Oryctolagus cuniculus: one gene and its partners. The protein of the gene in region 3 purifies or fractionates together with the protein of the main gene of each other region. This does not show direct contact. Links are inferred from orthologs where the notes say so. Each region holds a gene or a part of one and is shown on either strand. Other genes may lie near its edges.

Region 1 (5,173 bases), on a different chromosome or scaffold from region 3:
GTGGCACTCGGGGCAGTGAGTACGCTGTCCGGCTGCGGATCTGCTGTGTCAGTAACCTCACCCACGGCACACCACCTGCTGCCCAGAGCCTCCCAGGACCTGAGCCACATGCTGGCAGCACCGGGATCCTCCTCGCGGCCGGGGTCGCCGGGTCAGCCTCTTCCCCCAGGCAGGGACCCAGGGACCCAGCGAGAGCCAGGGGGCTCGCGGTGCAGGCCGGCGCCCGCTCTACCCTACCGTTTGCCTCATCTGACGCCGGCACAGCGCAGGAGCACACAGGGCTCATCTCCCGGCTCCCCCTCCTCTCCCCTCCGTGGTCTCCCCAAAGCTGCGGCTCCCCACCTGCCCTCTCTGCTTACAGCCCAGCTTCCCACGTGGACCCTGGGGCCGGGGCGGAGGGTGGGGGTGGCGGCTGGCAGCCTGTCCGCTCCATTTCCCACCCCGTTTCGTGGAGAGGCTCAGGCCCAGGTAGGGGAGACAGGAGCTCGTTTAAGCCTCCGACAACGGCCACGCGAAGCGCAGGGCCGAATTCCGCCAGCCCCGAGCTCCTCCGCCTCACCCCGCCGAGGGCCGCTGGCTCCATTTGCCGCCCACCGCCCACTCCAAATAGCCGCCCTCTCCCCTGAGTCTCTCCAACACTGCTCGCCTTTCTTGCTCGCACGCATCCCCTGGCCGTGCCCTGGTCTAGTGTGCCCCGCCTGAACTACCGGCCCACCGCACGGATCCCTCCGAGCCCCGACCAGCCGGTCTCCCTCGCTCACACCAGGCGCATCCGGCCTCTGCTGAACACAGACCTGCGGGGTGGCCCTGCCCCCTGGAAACTCTTTTCGGTTGGCAATGGAGACCAACAGAGCAAGGGCGGCAGGGCAGAGGCAGGGCAGGCGTCGCAGCACTGTAGCCACCAAACCCAGCGCCTCCCTCCCCTCACTGGGCACACCCCAGAGCCCACCGGCTGCTAGGGCGCTAAGCACCCGACCACACCGGCCTGGGCCTGCGACCGGCTTTTGGTCCAGCTAGGAGACGTCCCGCGGCTTGGGGCCACCTCTGCCACCCTGGTTTCCAGCATCGCAGTCCTCACGCTTTCCACCTGTCCCTTCGTGCCCTTTGCCCCTCCGCTTCTGCCCGGGGCAACCCCTAAGACCCACCTGGCTCGCCGCCGCCTCCACGCGGCTCCGCCGGCTTACCTGCAGCCGGCAGGGCTCTCCTGGGAGCGCCCGGGAGTCGGCCAGTCTGTGCGGGAGCACACTCCCGCCTCGCCTCGGCTCCTGCGGCAGCATCTCCACCGCGCCCGCACGCCCCAGGGCTGGGGTGACTCCCTCGCCGGGCTGCACGCAGGGCTTCCCGCCCGCACCCCTCGTCTCCAGGCGCCCAGCACGGCGGGCCGCCGTCCCGGAGCCCCGCCGCCCGGGACCCTCGAGGCGCCGCCGCGACGGCACCGGGGATCCTCCGCTCCGGGCTCGCCTAATTTATTTATTTGCACGGTTCCCGGAGGGAGGGGCGGGGCGAGCGCGGAGGCGGGCCCTCGGCCGTGACGCAGCGCCGCGGAGCCAATGGCCGGCGGGGGGCGTTCCCCATTCAGCACTCCTCGCCCGGCTCGGAAGGTATGTTAAACAGCTGCTTTCAATTCGGTGCCCCCGGCCCGCGTCCGGGGGGCGGCTCGCCGTGGCCGGCCCGACGCAGAGCGGGCGCGCAGGCCCCGGGGCGGCTCGGAGTCCCGCGGCCGAGGTAGGCGAGGGGCCGGCCCGGAGGGAGGGCGCTCGGCGCCGCCCGCCCGCCCGCCACTGTGTCTCCCGGCCGGGCCGAGCCGTGGGGAGGGGGCGCCAGCGCCGGCCGCGCCGCCTAGTGTTGCCGAGCACTCGGTGTCGGTAGGTTTCGGCGGCGGATTGGGGAGCGGCGAGCCGGAGGAGTCTCCGGCTCCGCTCACGCCTTTTTTTTTTTTTTTAAGAAAAACACACGAAAAGCAGCAAAAAAAAAAAAAAAAAAAAAGGTGGGTGGGGGGCCCTGCGCGCCGACCGGACGCGCTCCGGCAGGCGGGGGGCGGCGGCCGGCCCGGAGTTCCCTCCGCGCGGACTTGCCGGGCGGGCCGGGCTCGCGGCTTCCCTGCGCGCGCAAACTTGCACGAGGGGCGCGGGCGCCCCCGGCCCGGGGCCGCCGCCCTCGCCCCCCGCCGCCTCGCCGCCCGGAGCGGCCGTGAAGGTCGGAACCTGGGGAACTGTCTCCACGCTCGCTCGGGAAGAGGAAACGCATCAGCGGGCGGGAGGCGGGGCGCAGGCGCCGGGCGGGGGCGCGGGCCCGGCCGGCCGGCCGGCCGGCCGGCCTCCGGCCGCGGCCCAGACTGTTTACTACCGACTCCGCCGGCGGCTTGTGCAAGCGGCCCGCAGGGGACACGCGGGGCGGGGCGCCGCCTCGCCGCCCGCCGCCCCGGGCTCCTTGCGGGCCCCGCCTGCTCTTGTCTTCCATTGGCTGCTCGGGACTCCCTCTTTCGCTTCTCGGGCACGGATTGGCTGACATTATCTCGAGCTCCGCCTATAGGGAGGCCGGGCAGGAGTTTAAGTTGCTAGGGTTTTTTTTTTTTTTTTTCCGTGAAGGGCGGAGGGGGGGGCGTCCTGCGGCTACGTGAGGCGCGAGGGCCCGCCCCCGCTCCTGATTGGCTGCGCGCGCGGCCCCGCCCCCGGCGGAGCGAGCCGGGAGGGGAAGTCCGCCCTCGGCCGCGAGCGCGCCCCGCACATGTGTGAGGCCGCCGCGCTGCTCGCGTGCCTCCCGCCCGGAAGTCCCGGCTCCGCGCCCCGCGGGGGGAGGGGGTGGCGAAGGCGCGCTGGGCTGCCCGGCATCCCGCGGCCGGCGGCTTCCGGGTGGCGCTGGGGGCTCTGCGGGCGAGGGTCTGTCCGTCGGGCCGGGGCCGCGCTCTGAAGTTCGGGCCCGGCGGCGTGGCTGTTTCCGCGCGAGAGCGCTGCGGACGCCGGCAGCCGCTGCCCTCGGCGGGCCGGGAGGGGACCCCGGCGCGGGGTCGGGGCGCGGCGCGCGGGGCTGGGCCCGAGCTGCGCCCCCGCCGGGGGGTCGGCTCCCCGCAGTTCCCAGCTCGCAGCCGGCACTCACCTGTTGCCGGAGCTCGCTCCGAGGCTGCGGAGGGAGGGCGGTGTTGGGGTCCCCTCTGCGGGCGAGAGCGGGAAGCCCCGAGCCCCGCCCCCCAAGCAAGGCCACCGGCGGGCCCATGCCCTGTGTGCCGGCACCTGGTCTCGGTGCAGCTTAGCCTTCACGGAGCGGACCTAGGGACTGCCAGGAGCCCACGGTGGCCGAGGTGGACGCCGGCCGCGCCGGCCTCACCGCACGGGGAAGCCCCCGCCCAGAGGGGTCTGACCGCACGCGGGACCCCGGCCCAGAAGGTGTCTCTGCACGCGGGACCCCGGCCCAGAGGGGTCTGACCGCACGCGGGACCCCGGCCCAGAGGGGTCTCTGACCGCACGCGGGACCCCGGCCCAGAGGTGGCCTCTGACCGCACGCGGGACCCCGGCCCAGAGGTGGTCTCTGGCCGCACGCGGGACCCCGGCCCAGAGGGGTCTCTACCGCACGCGGGAGTCCGGCCCAGAGGGGTCTCTGACCGCACGCGGGACCCCGGCCCAGAGGTGGTCTCTGGCCGCACGCGGTACCCCGGCCCAGAAGGTGTCTCTGCACGCGGGAGTCCGGCCCAGAGGGGTCTCTGACCGCACGCGGGACCCCGGCCCAGAAGGTGTCTCTGCACGCGGGACCCCGGCCCAGAGGGGTCTGACCGCACGAGGCACCCCCGCCCACTCCGGTCCCTTCCTCGGTTCCTCCGCTGGCTCTGCCCCCGAGGCGGCCAGGGCGGTGGCCGTCGGGCCGCTTTCAGGGCTGCCCGTTCCGGTCGGGTTTGTGGGCGCAGCTCTGCCCCGGCCGCTGCTAGGCGGCGGCGTGCGACCGCCAGGCCGGAGGCTGAGGTTCGCGGTGAGGGGCGCCCGGGCCCCGGCGCTGCCCCCGGAACTCCGAGCTCGTCTCGGTGTCAACATTCCACCAAAGGACGGCGGGGCGGAATCGCCGGGGGCGGGCCCGGCGCGGCTGTGAGGTGGGAGGCGCCTGCGTCCCGCACGGACACTGTGCCCCACAGCGGCTGCCTTCCTGGGGCGCCGAGAGCCGGAGGTAGCCTTCCGAAACGCTGACCGGCGGAGGCGGGAGCCGACCTGCTCGGCCTGTGGCTGAGACGGCGCGGGGCGGGCCGTGCGGTGTCCTCCAATGAGACGAGAAGAGCTCCCCCGCTTCCGCCAATGGTGTTGCGGCTGGGGGGAGGGACTCGGCAATCCGTCTCCAATAGGCGGGGTTGAGTTAGGGAAGCTCCCCGCCAATAGGGGCGTGGAGAGGGTGAGCGGCTCCCCCTCCCTTCCCCACCGAGAGGGAAGGGGCGGGAAGTCGGCGGGCGGGGCGCAGTAATTGGCTGGCCTTTTGACTGGCGGGCGATGCGTCCTGTGGAGGAGCGAAGCCGAGTCCTCCCTCTGCTGGGCGGGCCGGGGGAGTGGGCGGGATTTCCCGGGTAACAGAGAAGCGGCCGCGGCGGTAGAGGCGGCGGAGACGGTTTCTCCATCTCCCCCTCCCCTTCCCCCCACAGAGTTTCCCTCCTTCCCTCCCTCCCTCCCTCCCAGTCTGGGCAGCCGGGCCTGTGACCGCCTCGGTAGCGGAGCGCAGGCTGCCAGTCCGCTTCGGCGGCCTCTGCCCCGTGCGGCTCTCGGGGCCTCCTGAGCCCGCGGCTCACGCCGAGAGGGACGCGCAGTGACGAGCGGCCCTAGCAGCTTCGCGGTGAGAGCCGGTGGGCCGAGCTCCGGCGGGAACCCGGGCGGCGGGCAGCGCCGGGCCGGAGGGTGTGTATTGGGGGGGCTGACCCCCGCGGCTTCCCGTAGAGCGGGAGGCGTGTGGCTGTGCGAGCGGTGGGGGCGGAGCGGGGCGGCTCGGCGCGGGAGGGGGAGCGCGTAGTCCCGGTGCGCGCGGAGGGGGCGGGCGCTCGCGCGCCGCTCGGGGGCGGGGCCGCGCGCGTGCGGCGGCGGGGAGGGGCGGGGCGGCGGGCGAGCGCCGGGGCGGCCGCGGGGGGCGGGGCCTCGGGCGCGGGCGGGGGTCTCGCGGCTCCTCGGGCCCGGGCGGCCGCGGGCCCTGCCGCGCGGGGCGGCGCCCG
Region 2 (4,998 bases), on a different chromosome or scaffold from region 3:
AATTTCTCTCCCCTACAATCTTGGTCTCTTTCAAAATAGTCCTGAAGGAAGTATCAGAATAATTTATCTTTAACATTAGTTATAATGAATATGAACTAATTTCCATCATTCATCCATCCCAAACGTATCAGAACATATAAAAAATCCCTCCTAGTTTTAATAAGACTCTTTAAAAACATTTTTGCTTTGTTACAGATAACATGAGTGCTGAATATCTTTGGGTTATTTTCTTTTCATGTACCCTTTATCCAAATGGTCAGCACTTACTCCATGTTATGACTAGAAGCTGACTCCCACATCCCACTGGACCCACGCAGCAATCTGAAATGTGTTAGCTGATTATCCGTTCCTTGTAGAGTTATATTTCACAAACAGCTTTCTCAATAAAACAGAGTATCTGTCTTTGCCCAAAAAGGTGTCACACTGAAGCACATCTTACCTTTCTCATAGCTGACTCATCTGTCACATCTCTCCCCCACACCTGAGGAGTGCTTAGCAGTGCCTGGCACATTGAGAGTGTTCCACAAATACTGCAATTAGTAAGACCTGGACTTTTTCAGCGTCCATATTTTTCCTGAATCTTTATTGTAAATATGTCTTACTCTGCCCTCTCTTTGCTTCACTTTCCTTTTTTCATTCTCAACCAAGAATTCTCTGCTAACTTCAAAAGGAGGAATGACTTGCAATCTGCAGAGAGTAAAACAGATCTTCTCACTGTCAAATCATCTTGCAGAAGTAATTCAAGTATACTACAATTTTATGGCTGCGACACTAGACTGGTTATCCCTTGTGTCTTACGACGAGATCCAAAAGAGAAAACATATCAGGCAGGTGCTCAAGGTATGCTGGGTTCCTTCTCACTTCCACGCATTTACAGATGAGGACACTGAGGTCCAGAAATACCAGCACTCACAACTGTGTTCTAAAACAAAGGAGGCTGCGTTTCCTTCAGTTGTACGGCTTGATGACCCATCTGACAAATCAACAAGACTCACCAATGTATTCTGCACCTGTCAAGAGTGCAGATGTAAGTAACAGAAACTATTTTGGTGAAGTACTAAAATTGTATTGTTATTTGCCTGTCGCTTAAGTCTCACGGGTTCATAGTTGGAACTATCCACCGATTTATAGGCCTTTGAGTTTTTCAGGGCCTTGTTTAAAAAGAGCACTTGAGTTGTAGCTGTTCAAGGGTCTGTAATTTTAGCACACTTCTACTTAAACCTTAGCCAATATTGGCCACAACCGGTTGAGGTTAAAAAAATTATTGCAATAAATATTCATCAGACCAAACATCCGTCAAGAATTTAGGGTGCGTCCTGAGACGATGATTGGTAGCGCTTTGAAATCCATCCCTGGCTATGCACACGCAGTAGAAAACTACCAGGTTCAGCAAACAAGATTTCGAAAAGAGGAGGGGCCTGGAGGAGGAGGGACCCCCACAACCCAGCGCGAGAATACGCCTCGGCGCGTGCGCACCTCCAGGTGGGTGCCTTCCATTTGCCAGATGGGGGAAGCAAGTGCGACTCAGTCTACGGTTTTTAAATTCCCATCCTCAAGCAAAAGTTACGTTGGCATAATCTCGTGAATCTCGTGAAGTCGTCACCTCCCGAGTTCAGGTTTAAAGACTCTTGGCACGCAGAGCTTAAGCAAGAGGTGACTTAGCAAAGCTTCCCCCGTCCCCTGGGACACCGGTGGTCTACTCCATCCACAGACTTTCGCTCCCTTTGCAGCGAGTCGGAGATCGAAGGATTGGGCCAATTGCGGCTGAAACGTCTCTGGAAGGAGGAAGGGGGTGACGGAGCATCCCTTTTGAGTTCTGCCTGTTCTTTTCGAGGTGGTGGTGGGGACGGGAGACATACGAAATACTACCCTCTTAAGCCAACGGATCCTACATCTCCGTGCAAACTGCCGGGGGGGCGGCGGGAAAAGGGCAAAACGGGAGTCGGGAAAGGGAAGGAGCCAGAAAGCCGCGCAGGAGGGCGCGCGCGCGCGCCCCTTTTTCAGCAGTGTGGCGGGGTCGCACGCACGCCCGCCTCGGCGGCTGGGCGCGATTTGCGACACTGGGGGGAGCGGTGGAGGTGGCGGCGGCAGTGGCAACTTTGCGGCAAGCTCCGGACGGGCTTGCTTGACGGCGGTGTGGCGGAGGCCCCGCCCGAGGCGGCAGGAACCTGGGGGGAGGCGGAGGAATATGTCCGAGAGGGAAGTGTCGACAGCGCCGGCGGGAACAGACATGCCTGCGGCCAAGAAGCAGAAGCTGAGCAGCGACGAGAACAGCAACCCGGACCTCTCTGGAGACGAAAATGTGAGTGCGGCCCGGAGCAGCCACGGGACTCTGCGGAGTGGGAGTTTTTAGATTCTTTAAAAACTGCGGGTGCGGGATGGGGGGGCCGGCGCTGGGGCGGGGAGGGGGTAGAGCGAGAGGTGTCACCCCGTGCCCGGGATGGGGAGGGCGTGCGGGCGAAGTCGAACCTGTGTCTGGCGGGGATTTTGAGCCGCGGCCGAGAGCAGGCAGAAAGTTGGCCAAGGAGAGTGGCTTAAGTGAGAGCATGGGTCCGAGAGCTCTCCTCTGCCTGTGGGGAAGTGTTCGGGCCTTTGGGAGATAGAGGGAAGAGTGCGGGTCTGAGATTCCAGTAGTTTAAAAGGCGTGCTAGATTTTCTTTTTTTTTTTTCCCTAAGAGTGGGAAGGAGCGGGCAGTCGAGAACTCTTTCAAAGGAGTTCGGGCACTGTGTCGCTCTGACCCCTGTAGAATCTTCAGGATGCAAAGGGTAGATCTTTGAGTTAATGGAGTTTGAATGAGTGTTTAAGAGCGCCTGGTGTCTGCTCCCGTCCTGTGCGAATCCAATAATGAGAATCTAAAAAAAAAAAAAAATCTTGAACGTGTTTTAGAAAGCTGGTGCGAGCATTTCTCAGTTTGGCCTGCTTTAGGAATAAATGTTGTATCTCACACACGCTGTCCTTAAATTCCCCAGCGTGAATGCCTACTGAAGCGTGTTTATGGCATGGTGTCATGACCAGGATTTTCACGGAAACGGTGGGGGAAAGATTGCTTTCTGCAGAGAAGAAAGATTTCTTGGAGATTGTCAGCTTATGGGGTTTTGCACTTAAAATTTCTGGAAAGTTTGTCTGATATTACTTTAAATATATCTATATGTATATTTCTGTTTGTTCTCCCCAGTCTCACTACATAATTGGGTCTAACATTTTTTATCTTCATTCCAAGTCTTGAAGACCAAGTTTTATTTCTTCGTTTTCGTAAAATTCTGTCGGCAGATTAGGCTGCAGTTAGGAGCACAGACGCTGGATCCACATGTTAGGTTAAAATCCCCACTCTAACTGGTTGCTTGACCTTAAGCAAAGTATGTGACCTAGCTGCCTCAGTTTCTCATCTTTAAAATGGGTATAGAAGCTTTTTTTTTTAACTTTATGAGTTATTGTATTAAATGACGTAATATAGGTAAAGTGCTTAGAGGAGTACCTGCCCTATATCAAGTATTAAGCAAGTGTTATTTGTTTATAGTACTTATTTTGTGATCACCATAGTATGTTTCTTCTGGCTATTTCACATACTGACGAATCAAAATATGAAAATGTTAAATCTATTTAGGAGAATTTCAGGAGAAGAAGTCAATTGAAATCTTATTTTCTTTTTGCAGACCCTTAAGGAGAAATGCCAGTGTTCTTTGTTTCATTCTAAAGCTATTCAGATCCAAATGATTGGATTAGCCTTTGTTTGGGTTGCTCCATTTGGCTAGAAACTGTATGTGCCTTGGACCTTTTAATGAATCTTACGGAGCCTTCTCAGAATAACATTTTTAAATATATAAAATACAATATCTAAAGTTAGAATTTTGAAATTGTAAAGTGTGGCATAAAATATTTCTAAAATAAATTTTAAGTGTAGTAATATTAGCACTTTAAATAACAGGAACTAGCAACAGATCTGGTGGCAGTGATGAGTATAAGCAAGTTTTTCAATATCTGTAACCAATATAATGTGATTTCAAAATACCTGATTTCCATTGGTGAAAAAAATCATGTAACATTAGCACATATATTGTTTGTATTATATAATAAAAGGAAGTGCTAAATTTCAGTTAAGAGCTGTGAAAGTTAAAATGCAGTTTTTTGTGTGTGTGTTTTTATTTGAATTCACAGGCCCTCTCAATTCCATAAGGACTCATGATCTAGGACATAGTTAGGGAAGTCAGTAAGGGAAGGGGTAGAGAATATTGTACAAAAACTGAATTCAGAAAGAACTCACAGCTCTTGAGGGAGGTGAATAATGACAAAAGACCAAAAATAGGTGTGGGAAAAATGTGTTTTTGAGTTCAAGTTAAGACAGCTTGAGCAGTTCCTATTGTTAAAGTGAGTCACAGAATTGAAAGAACTTTTTTAAAGTTTATTGTGTATGTCATCTGCCATTTTCTCAAACTTATAAAGATCCTATTGACAGCAGAGTAGATAGCTTCAGGCTGAGTACTAATGGTTGCCGTGGTTAAAAGAGAAAAGTGAAGGCTGAGTCTAGAGACTTGTCTTTTTGCTTAAGTAACTTGTGCCAAGATTAAAGGACAAATTAGTGGTAACTCCCTGTCTGTTTCCTTGTTGGGCAAATGAAGACGGTAGGGTCATCTGCATCTTACAGGAGGAGGTAGGGTGAAAGCCAGCCTGTGAGACACTGGCATGGATTTGATTTTAAGTTCTTGATAAAATGAAAGTGTTAGGTTTCCATTTGATTGCATCTTGATTCACCTTTGGAGAACGTAGGTAAATTAAGTTGTCAGCAGTGAAAATATGTGGTGTATTGAGAGTATTTTGTGTGGTCATTTGATTGACAGGCCAGTGATTAGCCAGAATGAAAAACTGGTGTAAGAGTTTTATTATTTCATTTATCTGACATTAAAAGTAATTTAATGAATTAATGAAAAGCTAAGTGAGCATGTGTTAAAAAGTTATTTGATTCATGAGGGAACCAAGCAAATTCTGAGGAAAGTCAAAAC
Region 3 (4,565 bases):
TGTCTCAGTTGCTCCACTTCTGATTCAGCTCCCTGCTAGTGACCTGTGCAAAAACAGTGGAAGATGACCCAAGTGCAAGGGTTCCTGCCAGCCTCCTGGGAGACCTGGATAAAGCTCCTGGCTCCTGGCTTTGGCCTGGCTCAGCTCTTGGTGTTATGGCCACTTGGGCAATGAACCATTGGAAGATTGGTCTCTTTCTCTATAACTTTTTCAAATAAATAAATCTTAAATAAATATATATATATGTGTGTGTGTGTGTGTGTGTGTGTGTGTATACACACACACACAAAATATTAGAAGTAGTTTTCAATTTAGATTTGAGTTTTGGTTTCAACTAAAGAAAAATGATGAAACCTTGTAAGTTTATGTTCTAAATGTTTAGCAAGTTTTTACTTGAAGACAAAAATTGGAAACCTGTGTTGAAGGAAATTTGTTTACTTATTGATCCTAGGTAACTGTGTACCTTTCTTATCTGTATGGGGCTCTTGTTCTTTACTAATGGATGTAAAATTATGCCTAAGTTGCTGTGTTGTGTTTAGATGTTATCCTTCACTGTTTGAACTCTCCTTCAAACTCTAAAGGCACTTAGGATTTTGGAGATTTACGAAGTTAGATATTTGTTAGCATCATCAGTTGTGATATCTTAGTAGATTATACTTTAGTTTGTACCAAATTAGTGTTTTCTCAATTTTGAAGACACTCTTCCTTGTAGTTACTCCACACTTATATCCATAGAAGCTAATTTTTCAGTAACTTGAAACGGTATTAACTCTTCAAATGAATAATAACTGAGTGGTGTCAATGTAACATTGTGTTAACTTACTGAGAACCAAGGAAAATCATTTGAAAGCATTTGGTGTGTTTTTTTAACTGCCTGTTGATATTGGATCCAGTGTCTTCAAAACTTTGAAACAAGGTCTTAACCCAAGTTAATATATCTAGACACAGTTGTTTGGTTATAAACATAATTTAATTGATTTGATGAAGAGGCTTATTTATCTCACATGAGCAATTCAAACTTTAATCAACAGCCTTTTTTTTTTTTAATTGGATGAAGAAATTCTGCTACAGTGAGATACACTTGTAAATTTTCTACTTCTGAATGTTGCTTCTGTGAATTGAGAATACTACTTTGAATAGTTAGTCTGGTAATGGTAGCTTATACTGTATGAGTTTAGCACAGCTTTGAAATGCTGCCTAATAAACAGGGTACATTGCCATCAATACTTCTCACTTCACTGTACTTTAAAAGGATAACATTTGAAGCACACCTCTTCCTTTATGTGGTTTTGACATGAGTGTGCATGGGTAATAAAATATGGTGATACAGGTGGCTCCTAAAGTGCATTCATGGCATAACTACTTTACTGGGATTTGTAGTGCTATAAGCACCAGTATGAACTTATGTGAGAGAGTACCACATATTGGTCTGTTGTCACTGCTATTCAGTTATAGGGTAAAAGAAGCTATAGGTATTAGTAAAGAAATGAGCATGATTATGTTTTACTGGTATCTTTTTTTTCTTTCTTTTTTTTTTTTTTTTTACAAAAATTAAAAGTTGAGCTTCAAGTAATTGTCATGGCACAAAATACTCTTGTTTTGATTTTTTTTTTCTTTCACTATTTGAAAAATTTGATACAGCTTCCTGCTAATACGTGCTGGGAGATAGCAGATGATGGCTTAAGTGCTTGGACACTTCTACAGACTTGAAAGACCCAGATGGAGTTCTGGGCTCCTGACTCTGTGGCCTGGCTTAACCCTGGCTATTAGAAGCACTTGGGGAGTAAACCCGTGGATGTGTCTATTTGTCTGCCTCTCTCTGCCTTTATCTATCTATCTATCTATCTATCTATCTATCTATCTATCTATCTATTTAAAAGAGTTACACAGAAAGAGGGAGAGACAGAGATCTTCCATCTGCTGACTCACTCCCCAGATGACCATGATGACCGAGGTTGGGCCAGCCTGAATCCAGGAGCCATGAATTTCTTCCTGGTCTCCTACGTGGGTACAGGGGCCCAAGCACTTGGGCCATCTTCTGCTGCTTTCCTAGGCCATTAGCAGGGAGCTGGTTTGTAAGTGGAGCAGCTGGGATTTGATCCCGCACCCACATGGGATGCTGATGACACCTGCAGTGGGTTAACCTGCTGTGCCACAACAGCTGTTCTCTGAATCGTTCCTTTAAAAAATAAATATGTAGAAACTATTCTTAGCTCAAATGGCAGTTGGCCAAATTTGGACTGCGGGCTATTTGCCAACCTCTGTTTAATAGTACTAGGGATTTACTAAAGAGATTTTAAAATTAAATTAACAGCATTGAGTAAGGTGTGGTCTTCAGTTAATATATAAAAATGTGCTTATGCATTTAAAACATATAAAATAGGACATATTCCATGGGTTCTAAGAGGGAATTTCAACGTTTAAGGTTCAAACTCTCAGGGAGTCTCTTAGGGTAGATATAAAATAAGAAAGAAATGAAACATTCTGGAATGTAAGAACCCAAAAATAAGTTTCCAGAATTCATGATGATTGTTCTCAACTTAGAACCTTAAAAAACAAACTTACGGTTTTATTTTCAGGTATCATCAGAGAGTCTTATATATTGATATAGATATTCATCATGGGGATGGTGTTGAAGAAGCTTTTTATACCACAGATCGTGTAATGACTGTATCATTCCATAAATATGGGGAATATTTTCCTGGCACCGGAGACTTGAGGGTAAGAGCAAATTCTGCTTGAATAAATGTAAGATATAACCTGTATCTGAACCAGTATTTTTCCTGAATCATTAATTTGAAGCATGCATGCAGAATTAAATCACTTTGTATACTCTACCATCTGCTAGAATTGACTTTGCTGACTATAATAAAAAATTTTAAAAAGGGGCAGACTTTGTGGCATAGCAGGTAAAGCTGCTGACTGCACTGCCAGCATGCCATGTGGGCATCAGTTTTTGTCCCAGCTACTCCACTTCTGATCCAGCTACCTGCTAATGGCCAGAGAAAGCAGTGGTGGATGGCCCATGTACATGGAACCCTGTACCCATGTGGGAGACGCAGTAGAAGCTCCTGGTTCCTGGCTTCAGGCCAGCCCAGCTCTTGCTGTTGCAGCCATCTGGGGAGTGAACCAGCAAATAGGAGATCTCTGTCTCTGTCTCTCTTTCTCTAAGCTCTGCCTTTTCAAATAAATAAATAAATCTTTATCCCCCAAAAAATATTAACAAAAACTTAAAGGACTTTTCTTTTGCTCAGCTATTTTATTTGAGTAAATATTATTGAACATCCATGGCACATGAAGCCCTTAGTATTCAATTTGAATCTTCAAAACTACCTAGTAGTAGCATACATTGCTTTTGATTGTAAAAGTTGTTGGAATAAAATAGACTGGGTGCTTTTAGATTCTTGCGCTTTCCTTTGTGATTGGTTTTGATTCAGTACCTCTAATTTTAATCTCTTTTCCTTAGCCTTCTGAAATTTGTAGTGTATGCCATTTGGGGAGAGAAAAAAAATACCAACATTTAGCACTTGCCTGCCTGTTACATTCTGTGCATTTATTTCTGTTTCTCTTTCTGTTACCTTTTTCCATTTGGTGCTCTTGTGTTTTATAAATGTGAAAAGCACTGCCAAATCCTTCTATACACTGCCCACAGTTGTTCTTCACTGGAGTTTTTTTTTATGTTTTTAACCAGACTGCATACAATATTGAAGTTTATTGAGAAATATAAGCAGCTGTTTTTAGTTCAGCCTGGATTGAGGTATTCCTCCTAAAATGACATTCAACATTAGTTCTAAACTGTTAGTTAAAATTTTATAAGCTTGAGGTCTGTCATACAGTTTGGCAACCAAAGTTTTAGAAAGAGTACCTTTCTTCTTCAGATGTGTGGCTTTTCTTTGCTTGACCACAAGGTGGTACTCTTTCAGTAAACTCTTGTATAAGAGAGGATAGTAAAAGCTTGCCTAATAGATAGAAGGAGGTCAGGTATTTAGATTGAGTCTAAATCATTTAACTTTTAAAATTATGGGTTTATAATTTCAGTTCCTTGCCAATTAGCTTATTCAACTTTTCCCTTAAACCATGTGGTTCTGTCTTATAAACTAATAATTTGCAAAGAGTGATCCCTAAACTAGCAAGACCAGTGATACAGGGAAGTTGTTAAATAGTCTCAGATATATTCTCAGATCCCAGAAACCCTTATTTTACCCACAGAAGTTTGAGAACTAGTGCCCAAAACCATTGGAGTTCATTTGTTTATGGGTGTTACATCCCATAGAAATAGAACAAGATACTTCTCGGCTTTAATGAAGCTTAAAAAAATAAATTAGTGTTTTTTGCATAGTAATCCTAATCGGTGTACAAAGAGGCAAGTGGAGACCTCTCAACTTCCAACAGCAGTAGATGTCACTATGGCCTCTTAATTACTGTGCTTGAAATTATGGAGAAGTACTGGCGAATGCTGTTTTATAAGGATTGAGAATGGCCAACAACATCTTTTCTTTACTTGAGACTTTATACTTGTATGAAATATCATTCCAAGATTAATATTTGTATATTTTAAATGCGTT
Region 4 (5,092 bases), on a different chromosome or scaffold from region 3:
ATTAGATCTTTTTCTCTCCTTCCCTCTCTCACTCTTTCAAATACATAAAAAAAAAATCCTTAAAAAAAATGTTTTTCTGGGGTCCGCGCTGTGGCATAGCAGGTAATGCTGCCACCTGCAAATGCTGGGATCCCATGTGGGCACTGGTTCAAGTCCCAGCTGCTCTGTTTCCGATCCAGCTCCCTGCTAAAGGCCTGGGAAAGCCACAGAAGCCAAAAGTGCTTGGGCACCTGCCACCCATCTGGAGCCCAGATGGCATCTGGGGCTTCTGCCGTCAGCCTAGACCAGTCCTGGCCATTTGGAGTGAAACACTGAATAGAAACCTGGCTCACTGCCTTTCAAACAAAGAAGTAATCTTGCAGAGACAGTAGGCATTTAGCCAAGCAGTTAAGACACCAGCATCCCACACCCCAGTGCCTGGGTTCAAGTCCCATCTCCACTTTCCATTCTAGCTCCCTGCAGAGCCACCTAAATGAGACCCTGATGGGAGTTCCCAGCTCCTGGCTTCAGGCTGGCCCAACCCTGGCTATTCTGGGCAAACGAACAAGTGGATGGAAGACCTCCATCTCTGCCTTTCAAATAAACTGAACTCAGACTAAAGAAGTTTTCCAATAAAGAATGACACAACAGTAGAAACGAATTAGGGGGAAGGCAATGCAGACAGCTGGTGACCAGGTGCGAGAAAAGGCTAAACATTTCATTTTTAGTGCTTCACTTCAGCTCCGGGTAACACCACCAGAACAGAGGTCTTGTCTTCTGTACTTTTTGTTTTGGAACACATCATGCAATTATGGATCAGCAGAAGTGAGAGAAGATGGGGGGGCATCTGGCGTGGCAGCTGAAATGCTGCTTGGGACGCCCACATCCCATCAGAGTGCATGGGTTAGAGGACGGGCTCTGCTCCACCCGCAGTGCCGACCACCGGCTCCTGGTAATGAACATCTGGGGGCAGCAATGCTGGCTCAAGGGCCTGGGCCCCTGCCACCCAGGCGGGAGCCCCGGACTGAGCTCCTGGCTCCCTGCTTCCGCCTGCCCCAGCCCTGGCTGCTGTGGCCTCTGGAGAGTGATTCTGCACACGCAAGATCTGTCTCTCATTCTTTCTCTTTCAAACAAAACAAAAAACAAACTTCTAATGATAGAACATAATTGTACAAAGTAGCCTCATTCTTCCTACCTAATTTACAATTATTTTCCCCAGAATAAAATCCATTATAATAAAAAAATTTAAAAATAGTTCTAAGACTTGCCCCTCAAGAAAAATAACGTCCAAGGGCTATGTTTTCATGCAAAGCCTTTGCAGGCAAAGGAAGTCAAGCCGTCGGGGGCACGCGTGGCCGTGGTGCTGCTCTGAACGCCCCACCTGACCAAACCTATCTCCAGGCCCAAGTGCCAAGTACCCGCCCTATTTCCCAAACCCTGGCCTCTACGGTGCGTATGTGATGCTTCAGGCATCGCTAAGAGAGAACATGGCAAATGCCTGTGCCATGAATTAATTAACAAATGAACCAGAGTGGGAGGGAAAAAAAGACAAGGCTAGTTTTTTTTTTTTAATCTATTTATTTATTTAAAAAGCAGAGAAACAGAGAGAAGGAGAGACACAGAGGGAGATCTTTCATCTGCTGGTTCACTTCCAAATTGGCTGGAACTGGACCAGGCTGGAGCCAGGAGCTTCTTCTGGGTCTCCCACGTGGGCCATCTTCCACAGCTTTCCCAGGCGCACTAGTAGAAAGGTGGATCGTAAGGGGAGTAGCCAGGACTCAAACCGGGGCCCATAAGAGATACCGGGGCTGTAGGCTGAGGCTTAACCTTCTGAGCCACAGCGCCAGCCCCCAGACTAGATTTCTAGTTTTAGTCTGCACTTACATCCAGGATGCTTTTTTAAACCTCAGATTTAACTTCTAAATTTGTAATCGTGGCTAGCCCAAAGAGCCTTCCCTCGCAAGCCGACGACTGCAGCAGCCGTCCTATTTAACGTCGTTTCAAAGTAACGAAAAGCAAACTTCTACACATCCCTGAATTTCCTACCACTGCCAATGGCTATAAATATGCCATCCACCGAGCTGCAGCCAAGGGTACCAGCTGGGGTGCAGACTCTGCCCCCTAAAACCCACTTCTCATATGAAAAGAAAAGCTACCCTCACAACCAGAAATGCGGATTCCTAGGCCCCAGCCCCACGGGATCAGAACCTGGGGTGCAGCCCAGCCCACTGTGCTGCCCCCATGATGCGCTGTTCGGGAAGCAGAAGCTACGCACCCAGCGTCCCCCGGCTCGTGCCTCCTTCCCCACCGCAGCCGGGCTACCACGGAAAAACAGACGCACGGGCCGGTCCCGAGGACGCCGCTCAGAAGTTCGGGGCCCTGCCCACTGCACCGCAGAGGCTGCACGCGCGCACGCGCCTGGTGACTCCGAGGAGGGCAACAAGTGCCAGGCGCACCGAGGACGACCGGCCACCTCCAACCAGACCACACGAGAACAAGGCAGGAAAGAGCTCCATAAGCCCACGGACGGCGTGAGCCGAGTCCACCCACCCCCTCCACGGGGTGGCCGAGCCCCGAGGCGGCCCGCGCAGTACAGGCCTCCTGCACGGCCGCGAGGGGCAACAGGCCACCCGCCGGCCCGAGCCTCGCCCTCGGAACACACCCAGCCGCAGACCAGCGCCGAACCCCCAGCGAGAGGGGCTCAGAACCGGAGGCGAGGCAGGCCAGACAGGGCCCGAGCCGCCCCCGCCCCGTCCTGCAGGCGTGCATGGCCTCAAGGCCGAGGTTTTCTCTTCCGCTCATTGTGTCTTATTTCCCCCAGCCCCAAAGCCCAGGCCCCGCGGGGCTGGGCGCGCCAGGCCGGCCCGGGACAAAGCCCACGACGGGCTCCACCTGGGAGCCGGCCGGGGGGCGGCGCCGGCACCCCGCCCCCCCGCGCGGTTACCAAGGCAGCGCGGCCCCGCCCCCCGCGCCCGCGGGCCAATCGCGCGCGTCTGCTGCCCCGGCGCAGGAGCCCCGGATACACCAGCCGAGCGCGACCCCACGGCTCGGGCCTGGCACGACGCGCGCCCCCGCTCCGCCCGGCCGGCCAATCAGCGCGCCGGAGGCCGGCGCGGCCGCACACGCCAGGCGGTGCGCCCCTCCCCCCAGCCCCCACTCATACACCACACGCCGGCCGGCGCGAGCGCGCGCGCGCCCCTCCCCCACGCGCACCCAGGCGCGCGCGTGCAACCGCCGTCCCCCGCGACCGCGTCCGCCCCACCCCCACCGCCTCGCGCCCCCGCGACCGGGGCCGGCGGGGGAGGGGGGGAGCAGGGCGCCCCTCAAAGGCCCGGCCGCAGCACCCCGACTGCTGCCTGCGCAGGCCCTCGGCGGGGCAGTCTGGAATAAAAGGCCTAGCTCGCCATGGCACCCGCGGCGGGGGCCGCAGGACGGGGCTGGGGGCGGGAGTGGGAGCTGAGACCAAAGGGACTCACCCGAGTGCAGCCGCCTCCAGGCAGCGCCGGGGCCGGGGGTGCGAAGGGAAGCGAGTGAGGGCCGCCGGGGAGCAGCCTCGGCTGTGGCGAGCTGGCGGGCGGCGAGGGGGCGAGGGGCCGCTGCGTCTCGGCCGCGCTCCTGTCACCGCCGCATGGCCGCCCCGGCAGGGCCTCGCGCAGCGCCTGGATCCGATCGCGGGGGAACCCTGAGAGAGGCCGGGGTGACCGCGGCAGGCGGGCGGCCGCAGCTAGAGAGCGCGTGCGGGGAGGCGGGGGGGCGACCAGTGGGCCCCTTTTTCTCTGCTCTCCGAGCTTCGCTCTCACCCTCCTCCTCCTCTTTTTTTTTTTTTTTTTTTTTGTTCCTCGAAGGCGCGCTGCGCGTGCGCACCCGCAGCACCGCCCAGCGGGAGTTGTAGTTCCTGATTGGTTCCCCACCAACGCGGCGGCGGGGACGGGGGACTACAACTCCCAGGAAGCCGCGCGCCGCCGAGCCCGGAGCAGGAGGACGAGGCTAGCGCGGCGCCCGGCCCTCTCCGGCGAGGACTGTCAATGGAGGCGCGGGTGGTGGGAGCAAGAACATGGCTGCACCTGGGGCCTGCGCGGCCGCCCGGGTGGGGGAGGGGAGCTGGGGGGGGGGGGCGAAGGAGCGGAAATGGAGACGGGTGGTGGCTCCAGCCGGCCTCGGCGGCGCTCCAAGTCCCCCGCTGGACTGTGGCACCCGAAATTCCCTGCACATTGGCGAGCTGGGGACGCGGCAAAGGCCGGGAATCCCCGGGCCAGTCCATCGCCCTCCGCCCTGCACCACCCTGCGGGACACAAAGAACTCCTGTGGGTGTCCCCAAAGCTAGCTTCGGAAGCCGCCCAGCCCGGGACAGGCTAGGGGAGGGGGCTCCCGGGTCGGTCTTTCTCCCTCCCCAGGCTTGGCCCACCCTGCCGCCTGCCACTCGACGTCTGGAAAGAAAAAGCCAAGTGGGCGCAAAAGGCCGGACTTGCAGACCACCACCACCCCACCCCACCCCCGGCGCCCCGTTTTGTTCTGGGAACCGCGAAGGGATTTAACCCGAGCCTCGGCCCCGCCCGCCCAGGTGCTGGTTCTTCTTCAGCCCGGGAATCTCGGCGGACCGCGAGCCCTGCACAGTTGGCCGGCAGCAGAAGTTTGCAAAGCCTTGGACGCTAACGCACCTGAACCTCGCCGCCGCCGCCCCCTGCCCCCCGCAGCCGCCGCTCGCTAGGTGGCGGCCGCACGGCTCCCCGCGGCCTCCCGGCCTCTTTGTGGGCTCGGGAGAGAAAACTTTCCGAACTGCCCGGCCTTTGATGCAGGTCCAAAAAAATAAAAAAAAAATACAAAACGCGTCCTTTGGGTTCGGGGATCGGCGCTCCCTGGGTCTCCTTTCCAGCATAGGCCACACCCATTAAAAAAAAATTCCTGGAAACGTTGGATTTCGCTCCCCGAAGGGGAGAATTGAGAGCTCCTGTCTGAGGACAGGAGGCTTGTGTGTTTTTATTATGCGACCCCCACGGTCTCGCACACAGACGCATGGGTCTGCGCGGGGGGGTTCGCCCTTTGTCGACCAATTCCTTACGAGCAACTTTGGGAGGTTTTTGTTGTTGTTCTTGTTGTTGTTGTTTTCACTTGC

The links.
Region 1: the proteins of HDAC2 (region 3) and SIN3A purify together in Homo sapiens (affinity purification with western blotting; 24 studies listed by BioGRID and IntAct, with this or other methods). This does not show direct contact. The link is inferred for Oryctolagus cuniculus from reciprocal best matches to the Homo sapiens genes HDAC2 and SIN3A.
Region 2: the proteins of HDAC2 (region 3) and EED purify together in Homo sapiens (affinity purification with mass spectrometry; 5 studies listed by BioGRID and IntAct, with this or other methods). This does not show direct contact. The link is inferred for Oryctolagus cuniculus from reciprocal best matches to the Homo sapiens genes HDAC2 and EED.
Region 4: the proteins of HDAC2 (region 3) and GTF2I purify together in Homo sapiens (affinity purification with western blotting; 4 studies listed by BioGRID, with this or other methods). This does not show direct contact. The link is inferred for Oryctolagus cuniculus from reciprocal best matches to the Homo sapiens genes HDAC2 and GTF2I.

Annotation. Positions count from the first base shown.
Region 1 is NC_091443.1:108,521,345-108,526,517, forward strand, and holds the start of SIN3A (paired amphipathic helix protein Sin3a), read left to right. Parts: upstream 1-1,578; 5' UTR 1,579-1,601; intron 1,602-1,700; exon of another isoform or gene 1,701-1,725; intron 1,726-4,523; exon of another isoform or gene 4,524-4,865; intron 4,866-5,173. UniProt on the Homo sapiens protein: Acts as a transcriptional repressor. Corepressor for REST. Interacts with MXI1 to repress MYC responsive genes and antagonize MYC oncogenic activities. Also interacts with MXD1-MAX heterodimers to repress transcription by tethering SIN3A to DNA.
Region 2 is NC_091432.1:77,386,765-77,391,762, forward strand, and holds the start of EED (polycomb protein EED), read left to right. Parts: upstream 1-1,403; 5' UTR 1,404-2,188; coding exon 2,189-2,302; intron 2,303-4,998. UniProt on the Homo sapiens protein: Polycomb group (PcG) protein. Component of the PRC2/EED-EZH2 complex, which methylates 'Lys-9' and 'Lys-27' of histone H3, leading to transcriptional repression of the affected target gene.
Region 3 is NC_091436.1:57,431,300-57,435,864, forward strand, and holds part of HDAC2 (histone deacetylase 2), read left to right. Parts: intron 1-2,579; coding exon 2,580-2,721; intron 2,722-4,565. UniProt on the Homo sapiens protein: Histone deacetylase that catalyzes the deacetylation of lysine residues on the N-terminal part of the core histones (H2A, H2B, H3 and H4).
Region 4 is NC_091450.1:49,806,084-49,811,175, forward strand, and holds the start of GTF2I (general transcription factor II-I), read right to left. Parts: upstream 3,596-5,092; 5' UTR 3,456-3,595; intron 1-3,455. UniProt on the Homo sapiens protein: Interacts with the basal transcription machinery by coordinating the formation of a multiprotein complex at the C-FOS promoter, and linking specific signal responsive activator complexes.